Cricetulus griseus: one gene and its partner. The protein of the gene in region 2 purifies or fractionates together with the protein of the main gene of each other region. This does not show direct contact. Links are inferred from orthologs where the notes say so. Each region holds a gene or a part of one and is shown on either strand. Other genes may lie near its edges.

Evidence for each region. Proteins that work in one complex are often made in the same cells at the same time.
Region 1: the proteins of Ube3a (region 2) and Psmc1 purify together in Homo sapiens (affinity purification with mass spectrometry; 5 studies listed by BioGRID and IntAct, with this or other methods). This does not show direct contact. The link is inferred for Cricetulus griseus from reciprocal best matches to the Homo sapiens genes UBE3A and PSMC1.

Annotation. Positions count from the first base shown.
Region 1 is NC_048598.1:105,594,025-105,601,266, forward strand, and holds the start of Psmc1 (26S proteasome regulatory subunit 4), read right to left. Parts: upstream 4,916-7,242; 5' UTR 4,822-4,915; coding exon 4,819-4,821; intron 2,497-4,818; coding exon 2,443-2,496; intron 1,725-2,442; coding exon 1,628-1,724; intron 345-1,627; coding exon 220-344; intron 1-219.
Region 2 is NC_048596.1:138,735,322-138,742,469, forward strand, and holds the start of Ube3a (ubiquitin-protein ligase E3A), read right to left. Parts: upstream 4,795-7,148; 5' UTR 4,655-4,794; intron 1-4,654. UniProt on the Homo sapiens protein: E3 ubiquitin-protein ligase which accepts ubiquitin from an E2 ubiquitin-conjugating enzyme in the form of a thioester and transfers it to its substrates.

The sequences.
Region 1 (7,242 bases), on a different chromosome or scaffold from region 2:
CGCATCTGAGTGTGCAGAGACCAGAGGACCTGCTGTGTGTGCACAAGGCTATCCGGAGAGCTTCCGGTGGCTCTCTAGTCTCTGCCTCCTGGCTTGCTGTCAGGATCACAGGTGTGCTAGTCAGTAAGAGGGCTGCGCAGGTTCACCACATGACTCCGTTGTAGCTCTAAATTGCAATCACTTAGTAAAGAAGGCAGCTACAGAAAGTCCTCCACTCACCTCTTGCTTTTCTTCCAATGGTTTCATCTGCTCCTGATTTCTAATGAACTCTTCCTCCATGAGAAGATAATCTTTTATTCTCTCTAACTTCAGTAACTTGAGGCGGCACTGAGTGTGAGGTGTTACTGCAATTAAAAAATAAGGCACACTATATTTGGAACCTAGAAATTTACAATAAAGTTTTACGTTATGCTCATTAGAAAGCCACTAAGAAACTAAGTTTGGGGCTGGCAACATGGCTCAGTGGTTACAGGGCTTGCTGCCAAGCCTGAAGACTGGAGTTCTGTCCCTCAGACCCACAGGGTGGGAGGACTGAACTGAGTCCTGTAAGTTGTGCTTTGACCGCCTCATGCTCACAACTGCACCCGAGTGTGCAAGCAAGCACTTATGTGCACACACTGTGATACAGGAGCTGAGGAGATGGCTTAACAGTTAAGGGCATTTGCTGCTTTTCCAGAGGAACTGGGCTCAATTCTTAGTGCCCACATGGCAGCCCAAAACCATGTGCTTGGCACACACGCAGCGCACATATACACAGGCAGGCAAAGCACTCATACACATAAAATAAATATTAAAAAAGAAAAAAAAAAACCCAACGTAATAAAAAAGAAACGTAAGTTCACACAACCCAAATTTTAATATAGTAATACTTCATTTTACAGACTGAAAATGTTTCTGAGACTGGATTTGTAGTTTAAACTGTATTTCCATTGTGGGGCACACTTAATCCCAGCACCTGGGAAGCTAAGGCAAGAGGATAATGAACCTAAGGACAGCCTGGATAGCACAACTGAGAATGTTGCCTCACAACAAATAGGGCCATTAAGATAAAGGCTCTATGGGTAAAGGCACTTGCTGTGCAAGCCCAATGACCTAAGATCCATCCCCAGAAAAGTGTCAGGAGAGAACCAACTCCCAAAAGCTGTTCTCCAACCTTTACACACATACCATAGCATATGCGTGTGCCCCCTGTAAAATAATAATACATGACTTCCATTTTCAATACTTCAGAGCGGTTGGCTATTTAAAGACAGTAAATGGGATTATTATCATCATCTTTTTTTTTTTTGGAGAAAGGGTCTCTGTATGCAGTTCTGGTTGGTCTAGAACTCAGTGACCTGTCTGCCTGTCTCTGCCTCCTGAGTGCTGGGGTTAAAGGCGTGCACCATAGTGCACTGTGGATGGGATCTCTTAGCACGAGACACTCATTTAATACTGCATTTTAAGATAAAATATAACTTCTACATCAACCCAGGGAAGGCTCCACGGGAGCTAAGTAGAATGGGTTACAACCACAGTGCTAAGGCTTCAGTCTCCCCGATACTCCCTGTCTCCCCTTTACACTCTATGCTACATGCAGAGTGGTTTCCTGGGAGCTAGGAAGACAGTAGAGGCGCAAGCCCATTACCCAGTGGCAGTTTGCTGGCAGCATCCGGTCCCTTTGTTTTCTTCTTCTTTTTCCCCACTCTAGTTGGGACAGGAGGCTCATATTTCTTTTTCTTGTCCTTGAGTTTTTAAAAGAATAGGAAAAAGAAGTCACATGGAAACCACAAAATGCACATTTATTTTTGTATTGATAGCATCTATTCTGGGTATACAAATGTCACCTTTTGGGATATTTAAGATAATTGTCCTCTTTATCAATACTTAAAAAAAAATATATAATTACATTATTTCCCCCTTCTCTTTTATCACTCTAATCCCCACAACCCCCACCTTACACTGATGGCCTCTTTTTGATTATTGTTACAAATTTTATTATTGATATAAACACAACCCGTGGACTCCGTAAAATAACCATCTTTAAAAAGCAGACTACATATCCCTGCACTCTGAGATTTAACTGCATCGTGCGTGAATGTCATCTCTTTAGAGAGATGGCAGGAACTTGGATTTTTTTCAGTGAGTAGAGAGAGGTCAGACTTGAGTTACTTGCCAAAAGTTTGAGTAAGGCTCGGCACGTCTCACACCTCGGTATGCTACACACTCAGACAATCTACTTTAAAACATCCACAATGTTCACACTTAAAAAATCATTATCTCAGGCCAATAAGCTTCTCAAAAAAACAGGAAAGAGGTGATCCACCTGCAATCCGGGTCACGGAAATAACTACTACATTACTTTGCTTTTGAAAGTTTGTGGCTCCACAAGGAACTCACTGAGACCTAATGGATGTTTCCACAGCGTGATCAGATCATGTAAATATCTTGCTTTTCATTTACCTTGTCATCCTTCTTGCCACCCCCAGGACCATGGCCACCACTCTGACTTTGACCCTGTCAAAAAAAAAAAAAAAAAGAAAAAGAAAAAGAACATGTCAGACATTAATTTAGAATACAATCATTGTTGACAAGCCTAAGAAACGTGGCCTGTGGAATCTGAATTCTGGTCCCATCACTCTAGACCAGTCAGGCTCCTCCACTGAGCTCTGATGTCTGTAAGAGGAAGATTTCAGCTCCTTCCCACCTATTGCTGGAAATGAAAACAGCAAATATACCCTTAGCATTTCTATGGATTAAGTTCTATCAGCAGACTACTGGGTCAGGATTGTAATTGTCTCTGTGGCTTCACTGTGTTGGTGCAAATCCAATCTGGTTGTATTCTTCACAATTCTGTCTCTATTCTCACCCCTCCTGCACCCATTCTCTTCCAGTCCATGCCTTCTTATTTGGCCCTCAGCCTCCCAGGAGAGAGCTATTATCCTCTAAAACAATGAACCGAACCGTCAATCCTTCCCAAACCCACCAGCGGTATTGTATAGCCCTTAGCTCAGCAAGCCTAGCTTTTGCCAACCTGGCTATACCGAGCCTTCCCAGGTTCATCTACCATCCTCAAGCCTTTCCAGTTTGGCTCCAGTGGAAGACATTTTCCTCATCTCTGGGACATCTTACATGTTTTTCGGTCTCAAAGAAGAGGAGCCACACCTTTTATAAAGCTCTTAAAATATGCTGAGCAGTGTGCGAAACATTCTTGGAATATTGTCTCTTTTGATTTTAAAAAGAGATTTCTTTTCTTAAAAGTGTGTGTGTGCAGCTAACTATCTCAGCAACGGAGGAGAGGCTACCTTAAATGCCCTCCCCTGATTATGAGATTGATGACTGACTTATATGCCTTCATACAGCAGCTGGTGAAGTAGAAGCAGATACCCATTAACTAATCACTGATCTGAACTGGAACTCAGATGCAGAGAAGGACCAGTGAAGAGCACAGAGGTCCAGACCAGGCTGGTGAAACACACAGAAACAGCTGACCTGAACATCCGGGAACTCTTGCTCCCCAGTCTGATAGCTGGAATACCAGCATGACACTAATCCAGACCCCAGGAACAAGGGTTTCTGTGAGGAAACCTCAGAAATCTATGGGACTTCCTGTAGAAGGCCAGTATTTATCCCTAGCATAGGTGTGGACTTTGGGAGCCCATTCCATATAGAGGAATACTCCCTGAGCCAAGACACATGGGGGTGGGCCTAGACCCTATCCCAAAGGATACGAAATACTGATGACACCCTATGGAAGGCCTCACCATCCAGGGGGAGCAGAAAAGATATGTGACAGATAAGGTTTTAGTTGGGGGGCTAGGGGAGGACGGGTGGGAGAAGGGAACTGGGATTGTCATGTAAAACAATCCTGTTTCTAATTCAAATAAAAAAAAGTGTGTGTGTGTGTGTGTGTGTGTGTGGTGTCCCAGGATACCAGAAGATGGCGTTAGATATCCTGGAGCTGGAACTACTACTGGCTGTTGTGAGCTTCCCGACAGGGTACTGGGGACAGAACTTGGGTCCCCTGAAGAGCAGCAAGAGCTCTTAACCCTGGAGCCATTTAATTCTCACCACCCCCAATTTACATATAAAGAGACCAAGGTCCAGAGAGGTTAAGTGGCTTTGCATATTGTCACAAAGCTTGTTGGATAGAAAGGCAGACTTCACACCACGGTCTTCTCTAAAGCAAACCCTGGGTGTTCGTTCCTTAACTGCTCTAGAAAAGACAGGACCTGTGTAACACCAATGGCCACTTCTTAATGCATTTCAGCTTCCTCACTCGAACGGGGATATTAATAATCATCTCCGGGGCTGTTGCAAGAAGTAAGGACAACTATGGGGAAATGTCCGGCCCATGTTCAGAAGAATACTTTCCAGGACCTTTGCGGGTTCCGGCCTTCACCCACACTCAGAGGCACGAGCTCACGGCTGTCTCCGGTCCTCGGCCGGCCCCTGCTCCCCTCTGACTGCTCCGCGGACACCCTAACACCTTGGTGGGTCTCAGCCGCACAAGGACGGCTGGCCCGGGCCTGCCGGGTCCTGCTCCCTGGCATGGTCACCGTCTCCGCGCCCAGCCCGGGCTCCGGCCCGACAGACCCAACCGGAGAGCGCCGGGGGCTCGCCGCCGCCCCCGCGTCCCGGGCTGCCCCGCGCGGCTCCAGCCCTTCTTCAGCCTCTCCTCGGCGGGCTCCCCGCAGGTCCGTCCCCGTGCTTCCGCTCGCCCGCGTCCCCGTGCTTCCGCTCGCCCGCCCAGGCGCCCGGGCCCGGGTCCCGGCCGCGTCGCCCCGACCTCCCGCCCTCCGTGCCCACGACCACCGGCCGAAACCCTTAGTCACTCACCATCTTTCCCCAGTCGTCCGAGCCTCCGCCGCCGGAAGTGCATCCACCGAAACGACCCCGTCAGGAGCGGAAGTGACTAAGAAAAAGCTACGGAAGCCCGTGAGGTCCAATTCGCTCCCAGGCGAGTTGCGCGCGGAGGGATCGTCCCAGTTGTTTAGTTAGTTACAGGGATCGTGGGCAGAGGGAATTCTAAATAGCTCCTGTCGGGCTCATCTTGGTTGCCAAAGAATCAGGGCCATTTTGAAAATTAAGAAAAAATTAAATTATGCAAAAATTTTAAGCAGAAATAAGTATTTGCGCTAAGAATTGGAATGGGTACTTGGGACTGGAAAGTTGCTGCATAGGCTGGGTGCACACCTTTAATCCCAGCACTCGGGAGGCAGAGGCAGGAGGATCTCTGTGAGTTCCAGGCCAGCCTGGTCTCTAGAGTAAGTTCCAGGACAGCCAGGACCGTTACACAGAGAAACCTTGTCTCAAAAAACAAAACAAAAGAAAACAACAACAAACAAAAAACAAAAAAGAAAAGAAAACAAAGAAAATTTGACGTATACACAGCATTTAAGTTCTTTAGTTTCTGGAATTTGACAACTCTCCTGAGAACGCTAAAGTTACCTAAATTTGTGAGTTGTCCCCCTCACCCCCATGACAAACGACTGAGGATGATGGCAAATATTGTGTTAAGATTGCCCTCGAGGGGCTGGAGAGATGTCTCAAACTTTTGAGACAAAGTGGTCTCTGAAATAAAGGGTCTCTACAGGGGCTGGAGAGATGGCTCAGAGGTTAAGAGCACCAACTGCTCTTCCAGAGGTCCTGAGTTCAATTCCCAGCAACCACATGGTGGCTCAAAACCATCCCTTATGAGATCTGGTGCCCTTGGCTGGTGTGCAGATGTACATGGAAGCAGAATGTTGTATATATAATAAATAAATTAAAAAATAAAGGGGCCAGGCGTTGGTGGCGCACACCTTTAATCCCAGCACTCGGGAGGCAGAGGCAGGCGGATCTCTGTGAGTTCGAGACCAGCCTGGTCTACAAGAGCTAGTTCCAGGACAGCCTCCAAAGCCACAGAGAAACCCTGTCTTGAAAAACCAAAAATAAAATAAAATAAATAAAGGGTCTCTACAGATTCCAGCCAAAAGTAAAAGAACATGTTCTAGAACAAACTCTCTAAGCCACCAACAGCATAAGTAGAAAGCATTTGGAAAACCGTCTACGGGTGGGGTTTGTTTTTTTTTTTTGGTGTGTGTGTGTGTGTGTGTGTGTGTGTGTGTGTGTGTGTGTGTGTGTGTGTGTGTGTATGTGTATGTGTTTGTTTTGGGGGGGGTGTTGGTTTCTCTGTGACTTTGGTGGCTGTCCTGGAACTAGCTCTTGTAGACCAGGCTGGTCTTGAACTCACAGAGATCAGCTTGCCTCTGCCTCCCGAGTGCTGGGATTAAAGGTGTGTGCCACCACTGTCCTGTGATCAGAGTGTTTTCTAATGAAAATTTACAGAGAAACACATTCCTCCCATAATATTTTTACTAATTATTTGGGAATTTCCTATAATGTACCCTGATCACATTCGATTCCCATTTCTCCCAGGTCCACCCCCCCAAACCCCACCTAGTCCAATTTGTGTTGTCCATCTACTCATTAAAGCATGGTCAAACTCCCAGTGGCCAGCCCTTAAAGAGCCCTGAGTCCTTCCCCACCCCCTCCCCCGTCAGCAGCCAGCAGTCAGCAGCTGTGAAAAGCTGCATTTAGCATCTTTAACACAGTTCCTAAGGACTGTCTCCAATAACTTCCTGTCTGGACTACAGAAACACTTTTTTGACACAGTACTTGCACTGGCTTCAGATCAGAAAGCAGGACCGTGGGGCTGGAAAGATGGCCCAGGGGTTAGGAATACCTGCTGTTCTTGGGAGTTCAGTTCCAACACTCACAATGGGGTGGCTCACAGCTTCCTGTAACTCCAATTCCAGGGGATCCCTCATCCTCTTCTGGCATTGAGGGCACCTGCAAGTATGTGGTAATTAAACACATGTACACATAAATAAAATAACTAGAAGTTTAAAAAAAGACAGTGAGGACACTGAAAGTGGACAGAGTCCAGGTGAGACTGAGGAGGGTCCTCCACTCTTGGGACCCTGGCCAGGTGTTAAGCATTATGGTTAATTAGTGTTATTAGCCTTAATAGCAACGAATGAAAAGTTCTTTAAGTTCTTAATGCGAGTATTCCTTAGGTTCTTTTTTTGCTAAATAAGGAGAGAATTTGGGGAGAGGAAATCTGACTCCCTGATTAGCAGCTACTAGACTCTGTGTTGGTGCCCTGGCTACTCTGAACCAAAGGGCTGTTAGTCAAACAGCCAGCATCTCTAGGTATTTTGAATACTCCGCAGACACCTTGAGAAAACAATACACAATCACAGCCAGTTGCCTTGGTTA
Region 2 (7,148 bases):
AGTTACCTTTTATTAATAGTATGGAAAATACACACCTCCATGAAAGCAGATGGGCAATTACAAAGTACGTTTAACTATTCTTCTAAACAGATAGGACAGAACACCTGCTGATAAATGTAGACTCCTGACCTGGGAGCCAGAGACTCCAAATTGATTCTGGCCCTAGGTGAATTTAAGAAAACCATCTTAAAATTTAACTCTTCAATTTCCTCATGTTAAAAAAAAATTAATACAGAAGCTGATCTCAGGCAGAAGATTATTCACATTTACAAAATCTATGACTCTATTATCAGAAGGTAGAATAATCAACCACTCTCCAAAAGCTAGTATTAACAGGCCAAGTACCAGAGTAATCTATTTTATTTTACACACACCACACATGTATACATACTATAAATCAGATATTGAATAATGAGCTGGAACAAGACTTGAACACATGTATTTCGATTGTATCCCCACCACACTCTTCAAAAAACATACAAATAGTATGTCTTTATAATTGCAGCTGAGGGGTAAGAGATGCTAAGCCTACAGAACTGCCCTAAGACTGGGGCATATTAAGTTCCATAATATGACAAGATGTTACATTTAAAAAAAAAAAAAGTGTTATGTGCAATAAATGACTAAAACTATCAGCTTCCAAACGATAGACAAGTTTTTTGTATTTTTACCCATATAACCCAGTCCAGTTCAGAGTATTCAAATACGATTCAGAAATGTTAGCTGACCATTTGTCAATATGCTAATAACTATTTCAGGCATATTCCACAATATGAGCCGAATGTTTACAAGCCCCTGAAACTTCTCTAACAGCCTAAAATCTAAGGTGACAAAATTATAAGGTGGGGCTTTTAGGAGGATCTGCCTTGATGTCCTTAGCATTGGGAAGGCAGAGGCAGATGGCTGCCTGAGTTGGAGGCCAGTTTAGTCTCTACAGCTAGTTTCAGAGGTTAGTGAGACCCTGTCACAAGGAAAACTGGAAAGGTGGAAGGGAAAGGAGGCTAAACAGATGGCACAGCTATTAAGAGCACTTGCTCCTCTTCCAAAGGACCTAGGTTCAATTCCCAGAGCCTCCATGGCAACTATTCCTAGTCACCCTCTTCTGACCTCCACAGGCACCACACACATGTGGTGGTGCAGTCATACATGCAGGCAAAATTCTCATAAAATAAAATCTCAAAGAGAAAAATAATAGACATACAGAAACACAAAGACATACTTCAACACAAACATGGTGATATAGGCCTGCAATCTAATAACTATGGAAGATGAGACAGGAGGAGTCCCAAGCTCAAGGTCTGCCTAGGCTAGAGTAAGTCTAAGGCCAACCTGGCCAACCTAATGACACCTGTGTGAAAAATACAAAAGTGACAAGGAAGTCGTAAAGTAGTTGGCTAGCACGTGAGAGGCCCTGGGTTCAATCCCTAGTCCAACTAAACAAATCCTAACACTACTCAAGTTTTCAATGAAAATTAGCTTTGATCTTGGTACTTCTCAATGTCCGTAACTATGATATACACTTATACTTAAGGTGTGTGGGGGGATGGGGGTATTTTTTAATTTATGTAAACTACCCAGTGTTTGATAATATAACAGTCTAAAGGCACCTGGAAAGATATTCTCTAATTAAACAATAGAAGTTCTTGCACTTAAAGACTGAGCTCACAATGAGACAGAAAACAAACAATAGAATTATTTATGGGCTATAGACCACTATATACAAAGTGCTTAAAGATCATTCAGAAAAACTGGGTATGCAGTCTGCTAAGGTAAAGTTGAAAACCTATGAGGCACTGTACAGTCTTTAATCCTCACATCTGGGATATCTTTACCATCCTGTTTATAGATAAAACCATGGCTCAGGAAAAATTAAATCCAGCTCTAATTACAAAGCTGGGTGGTGGTGGCACAGGGCTTTATCCTAGAGGCAGAGACAAGGGAATCTCTGTGAGTTTAAGCCCAGCCTGGTCAACACAGCTAGTTCCAGGATAACCAGGGATACAGAAACACTATCTAGAAAAGTAAATTTTTTAAAAAAGAGAAATTGAATAAATAAACTGCAAAGCTATTTCCACTAATATTTTAGCACATCTCTAATCATTACTTTTTTTTTGAGACATTCTCTCACCTCACCTTTTAGTCTTGGCTAACCCTGACCTTGCCACAATCCTGCCTGACCTTTCAATTCTTGGTTTTACAGATGTGAGACCCCGTGCCTGGCTTAACATTGTCTTTATATTTATCAGTGAGGATACTGTCAAAACCATCCAAAACCCTATTATCCTAAACCCTAACGAAGAGAATATCAAAGACTTTTTAAAGACTATTTTATATGGACCCCCTGTCATGTGCTTTTTGTGCTTGAAAGTACTTAAAAGACCACTTTTGCAAACTCATTTCTACTTTCAAAAATCTTATCACTGATGTTTTTAATAGCTGCATATGCACTTAATATATAGATTCATTTACCAGTAATGTTATCATTAATAACAAACATAAACCTAAATAGAATAAATAGTAAGAATACACCACTAACCGTTTAAGTTTTTTTTTAATGACATTTGCAAAAAATTATTCTAAGCTCTTGAGCAGAAAAAAATTAGCTATGGCCAATTTACAGGATAATCATAAAAATTGAGAGAAACAAATTACAGCAATTACTTGACAGAAGATAGAGATTGACATAAATGTTTTAAAAATACAATTGACTTTAATGTTACATGTCAGAGACATTATAGATATCCAATGAATGCTGTTAAAAGGACTAATCAAGTGGGAAGAGGGTTAGTCTCAGGTAGAAATTACATTTAAAGCCATAAAATGAGACAGTAGCCAGTGCTGTTGGGGTACACTTTTTAATCCCAGCACCCTGCAGACAGAGCCAGGAGAGTTCCAGGTCATCCAGAAGCTATATTAGAAGACCCTTTCTAAAAAAATATAATGAAATAAAAATTAAAAGAGGTAGGGAGGGGGGTGGTGGATTTCAGGGATAAAAACAAAAGATGCCTACAAAATTTGCATGCAAAAAGGATATTCTAACCTCATGAACTCCTCAGGTATGGGGGCAATGTCCAAAGGAGTATGTGTGTATACGCTACTCCACACACCAATGCAAGTTAAATATTGACACAAGTCTTTCACAGCTTACATTCTGATTTTGAAACCAAAGCTACAAGTCATCTTTTTATTATGTACAGTATCTCTTATTAAAAAAATATAGACTACAAATTATTTGTGGAAGCTCTCTCTTTTGTTACATATGTTGATGCTTAGGCTTTTTTTTTTTTTTTGTAATGCTAAGCATTTAAGGATTTACAGTCATCCTTAAGGCTTATCAGCAACATAGATGTGGTAATTCATTTCCTTAAAAATGCAGTAAGCATACTTGATTTAAATGGAAAATCAAATACCACAGCAATTTCTGTCACACATGCCAAGACAAAAATTTCTATCTCTTCTAATTCTAAATTTGCATGATTTTCCAAAGACATCTTAAGAGTAACCACTAATCCAAGGTGTGAGGAAAACACTTCTCATGTCACTTTTCCCATTTATTCAACAAGATTTATTTGGTAGTGGCATGTCTTTGGTATGTAGCTTTTTAGCAGCTGTATTTCTTAAACTTAGGTCATCTTTATTTCAAACGCACTTTCCTCTCCAAAACATTCTGGCATAATCTGTTTCTCCCAAAATCATGGGTTATACCCACAGTCCTTCACGATTGAAGACAATCATGGATCACAAATCCCATATACTATTTAGTTTACGTTTGGAACAGCACACTAGCTACTTAATACAATCCCAAAGAGATTTTTTTTTTTACTGTTCTGCTTTAGCATGCTCATAAAAAGTCATTTTAAAAAATGACCAAAAAAAAAAAATTCCTCGAAAAGAATTACAGTCTGAAAAGTCGTTTTAAAATTATATTTTCTCTCTTTAGAGGTAAAGCATGTAGCACATTCAATTCTGACTCTTTCAACAAAAAGCCTCCGCATCAAGATGGGGAAAACGTCCTTTTCATTTTCTCAACTGAAAAGAGGGAGGGGGAGGAGGAGGAGGCCAACTGCTTACAGGTTTGCATTTAAATGTAACATAGCAGTTTCTGAGGAATCTACTAACTCACGTTCAACTACCGAATTCTATCGGAAGCAGCACACGGAGAAACCGAGAGCGCAATCCTTAGGCTTGATGTGCCGCTTCATCCGTCTTTCCTCTCCAATCCACCCCCAATACCCCAACCCACTAAGCACACGTCTAAATATGTCTTCCCACCCAGAGCGTCCCTTTGGAGGAAAAGGCCTGCCCTCCGCAGCCTGAAGCCACGGCTGGCTGTCCGATCCCTGTTTCGATGAGGCCCCGATCTCCAGGCCCTCCACGTCCGCCCCACCCCGGGCCCACTTGGGTACCCGCGGGCGACAAAACCCTCCCTCCTGCGCCCAGCCAGCACTGACAGTTAAGGCTGCAGCAGCCGCAGCCACCAGGGCCTACTCCTGGCACCGGCCCCTCCAGACCACGCGCCCCAAGCAGTCGCTCACAGAGGCGGGTGAAGGGCCCGGGCGCCTACCCTGCCTGCGCGGCCCGGAGGGGGATAAGGCGGACGCGGTAGAGACCAGAGAGAGCGCGCCGGGCAGGCCGCGGTCGCAGCAGCACTGACCTGTTCTCGCCCCCGCGCCTAGGCTGCGGCTGCCTCACTGGTTCTAGTCGCCCTCGTCCGCCGCCGCCGCCCGCCACCGCCTCGTTCCCTTTCGCTGGCGCCACCGCCGGAGCTCATGCGGGACCCGCGCTTCTCTTCAGGAAACCGAGGCCGGGAGGCCAGGCGCCTGGGCAACGTCGGAGTCGGCAGCGCTGGTCGGCTGCTGCCGCGGTCTGTCCACACTGGAGTGCGAGCGAGCGAGCGAGAGAGGCGAGCGAGAGAGGCGAGCAACTCCGAGAAGCAGCAGAAGGAGGCGCCACCGTCCGCGACAGGTAGACAGAGGAGAGGCGTGAGGAGGCGGTGGACGGCTGCGCGGCCGGGTGCGCGAACGAGCGCAGGAGGGGGCAGCGAGGTGCTGGCGAAGACGAAAGGCCCCGTCGTCTCTTAGAGCCACCCAGAGAGGAGCGCCACCATCTTGGGAGAAACACGGGTCTCGCGAACGCAACGCAGGACGGGATGACTGGGTGGGTGGGCGGTCCGAGTATCCCGACAGGCAGCGCGCGCCGCCCTTGCAGGGCGAGGGCTCCGAGAGGGAGAGGCGGGATGTGAGGCGAGGTCGCGCGTGCGTGGGAGGGCGACGGGCTCTGCCCCGCCCCGCTCGCAGCTCCGCGAGGCCCTTCCTCTAGCTCGCCTTCGCTGCGGCGCGGGGAGCGGTGGGAAGAGGAGATGGCCTTGGGCTCAATGGAAGCCTTCCAGGCGCTGTCGCCATCTTGAGACGGGGCTGGGAGAGATTTGGTGCTTTCAGGCCCTGCTCCTTTTACCCGTCCGGTGTGCTTCCGTGTCCTCGGGAGAGCGGCCCGAGCTAGCCAGCCGAGGACAGGCTCCGGGTCAGTTAGGCAGACTGATCGGTCCCGAAAGTCGGCCGAGGTGGTGTCCCCAGCCCGAGGCACGAGAAGGAAGAACAGAAATGTTCAGTTGCTAGTGCTGACCCCCCCTATAATCACACACATGGACACACACACACACAAGGAGGAGCAGAAATGTTCAGTTGCTAGGGCTGACCCCCCTACAATATCTCTCTCTCTCTCTCACACACACACACACACACCCTACAATATCACACACACACACTGACCCCCCTACGATATCTCTCTCTCTCTCTCTCTCACACACACACACACACACACACACACACACACGCCTTTTCACCCCAGCTGCCTTGGTAAACGTTGCAGGGATTGCTGAGCGTAGCAGACAAGGTATCAGCTCAGGCCTCTGCCAGCACAGGATCTGTCACTGTTTTCCCATACTAGAAGGTAAAGGCCCAGGTCCTGCAGTGTTGTCAACGGAGGGAAGTAACCGGCAGGCTGAATCATATAAATATATATATATATATATATGTGTGTGTGTGTGTGTGTGTGTGTGTGTGTGTGTGTGTGTGTGTATGTATAACATATATATATATATATATATATATATATATATATATATATATATATATATATTTCAGCTGAACCCTGTTAAAAGCCATGCGTCTTGATGGTGCCCGCGTGGCATTTTTACTTAACGAGATTTGTTATTTTAGTTAATGGCTTTGACAATTGCCACTAAATGATAAAGGCTGGCTGACAAGTCATTTTCTGGCTTGTAACATTGTGGATAAACAGTAACTATCTAGTACTCAAAATGTAACAATCACACGTAGCAATGTACCTTTTTCGTTACTATGACTTTACACAAATTGTGTGTGTGTGTATACGTATGTGTGTGTATGTATATATTCTCCCCAATATAAACAGCTATTTGTTAAAAAAAAAAAAAAAAAAAAAAAACAAGACGGGGAAGAATGTAAACCATTCCAGGATAAATAATAATAAATGGCATTATTGTAATGTAAAATTTTAAGATACTTTAAAAGTATCTAGTCATTTTTTTTTTTTCATCTCTCCTTCCCATTACAGATCTTCATTTGGAAACTACCGCTGTATTTTATGGAAAGAACCAGTAAAAAAATGTAACCTTTTAAGGATTTCTCTTTGCAAACTATTAAAATGTACAACCAAAAATTAAGATCATTAGACTTTTATAAAGCACATTACTATTGCAATATGTGAAGATACTTTCTGCTATTCTCGAATCACTAGAAGGTGTCTGAAAAAGAAAACTAATTTTACAATAGTGTTAATTATCAAAATGTGACCAAAACCCTAGAGTTCTAAACAGCTTAAAAGTTTAAGTTAGGAGATGTCAAAATGACAATCTAGCTCTGTATGGAGAATCCTGATTTCTCCTGGGAATCTGAAGAAATTATTCTTTTAGTTAATGTTAAGCATGTATTCGTATATATGCCACTGATGTCTTAACTCACATATTTTGGATTATAAAGTTTTTAAAATTTAGAGACATGTATTACTGCTAGACATGAAGGTACTTGCCTGCAATCCCAGCACATAGGATGCTGAGACCAGAAAATCTGGAATTTCATGGCAGACCTCACTATGACTAGAGATTATTT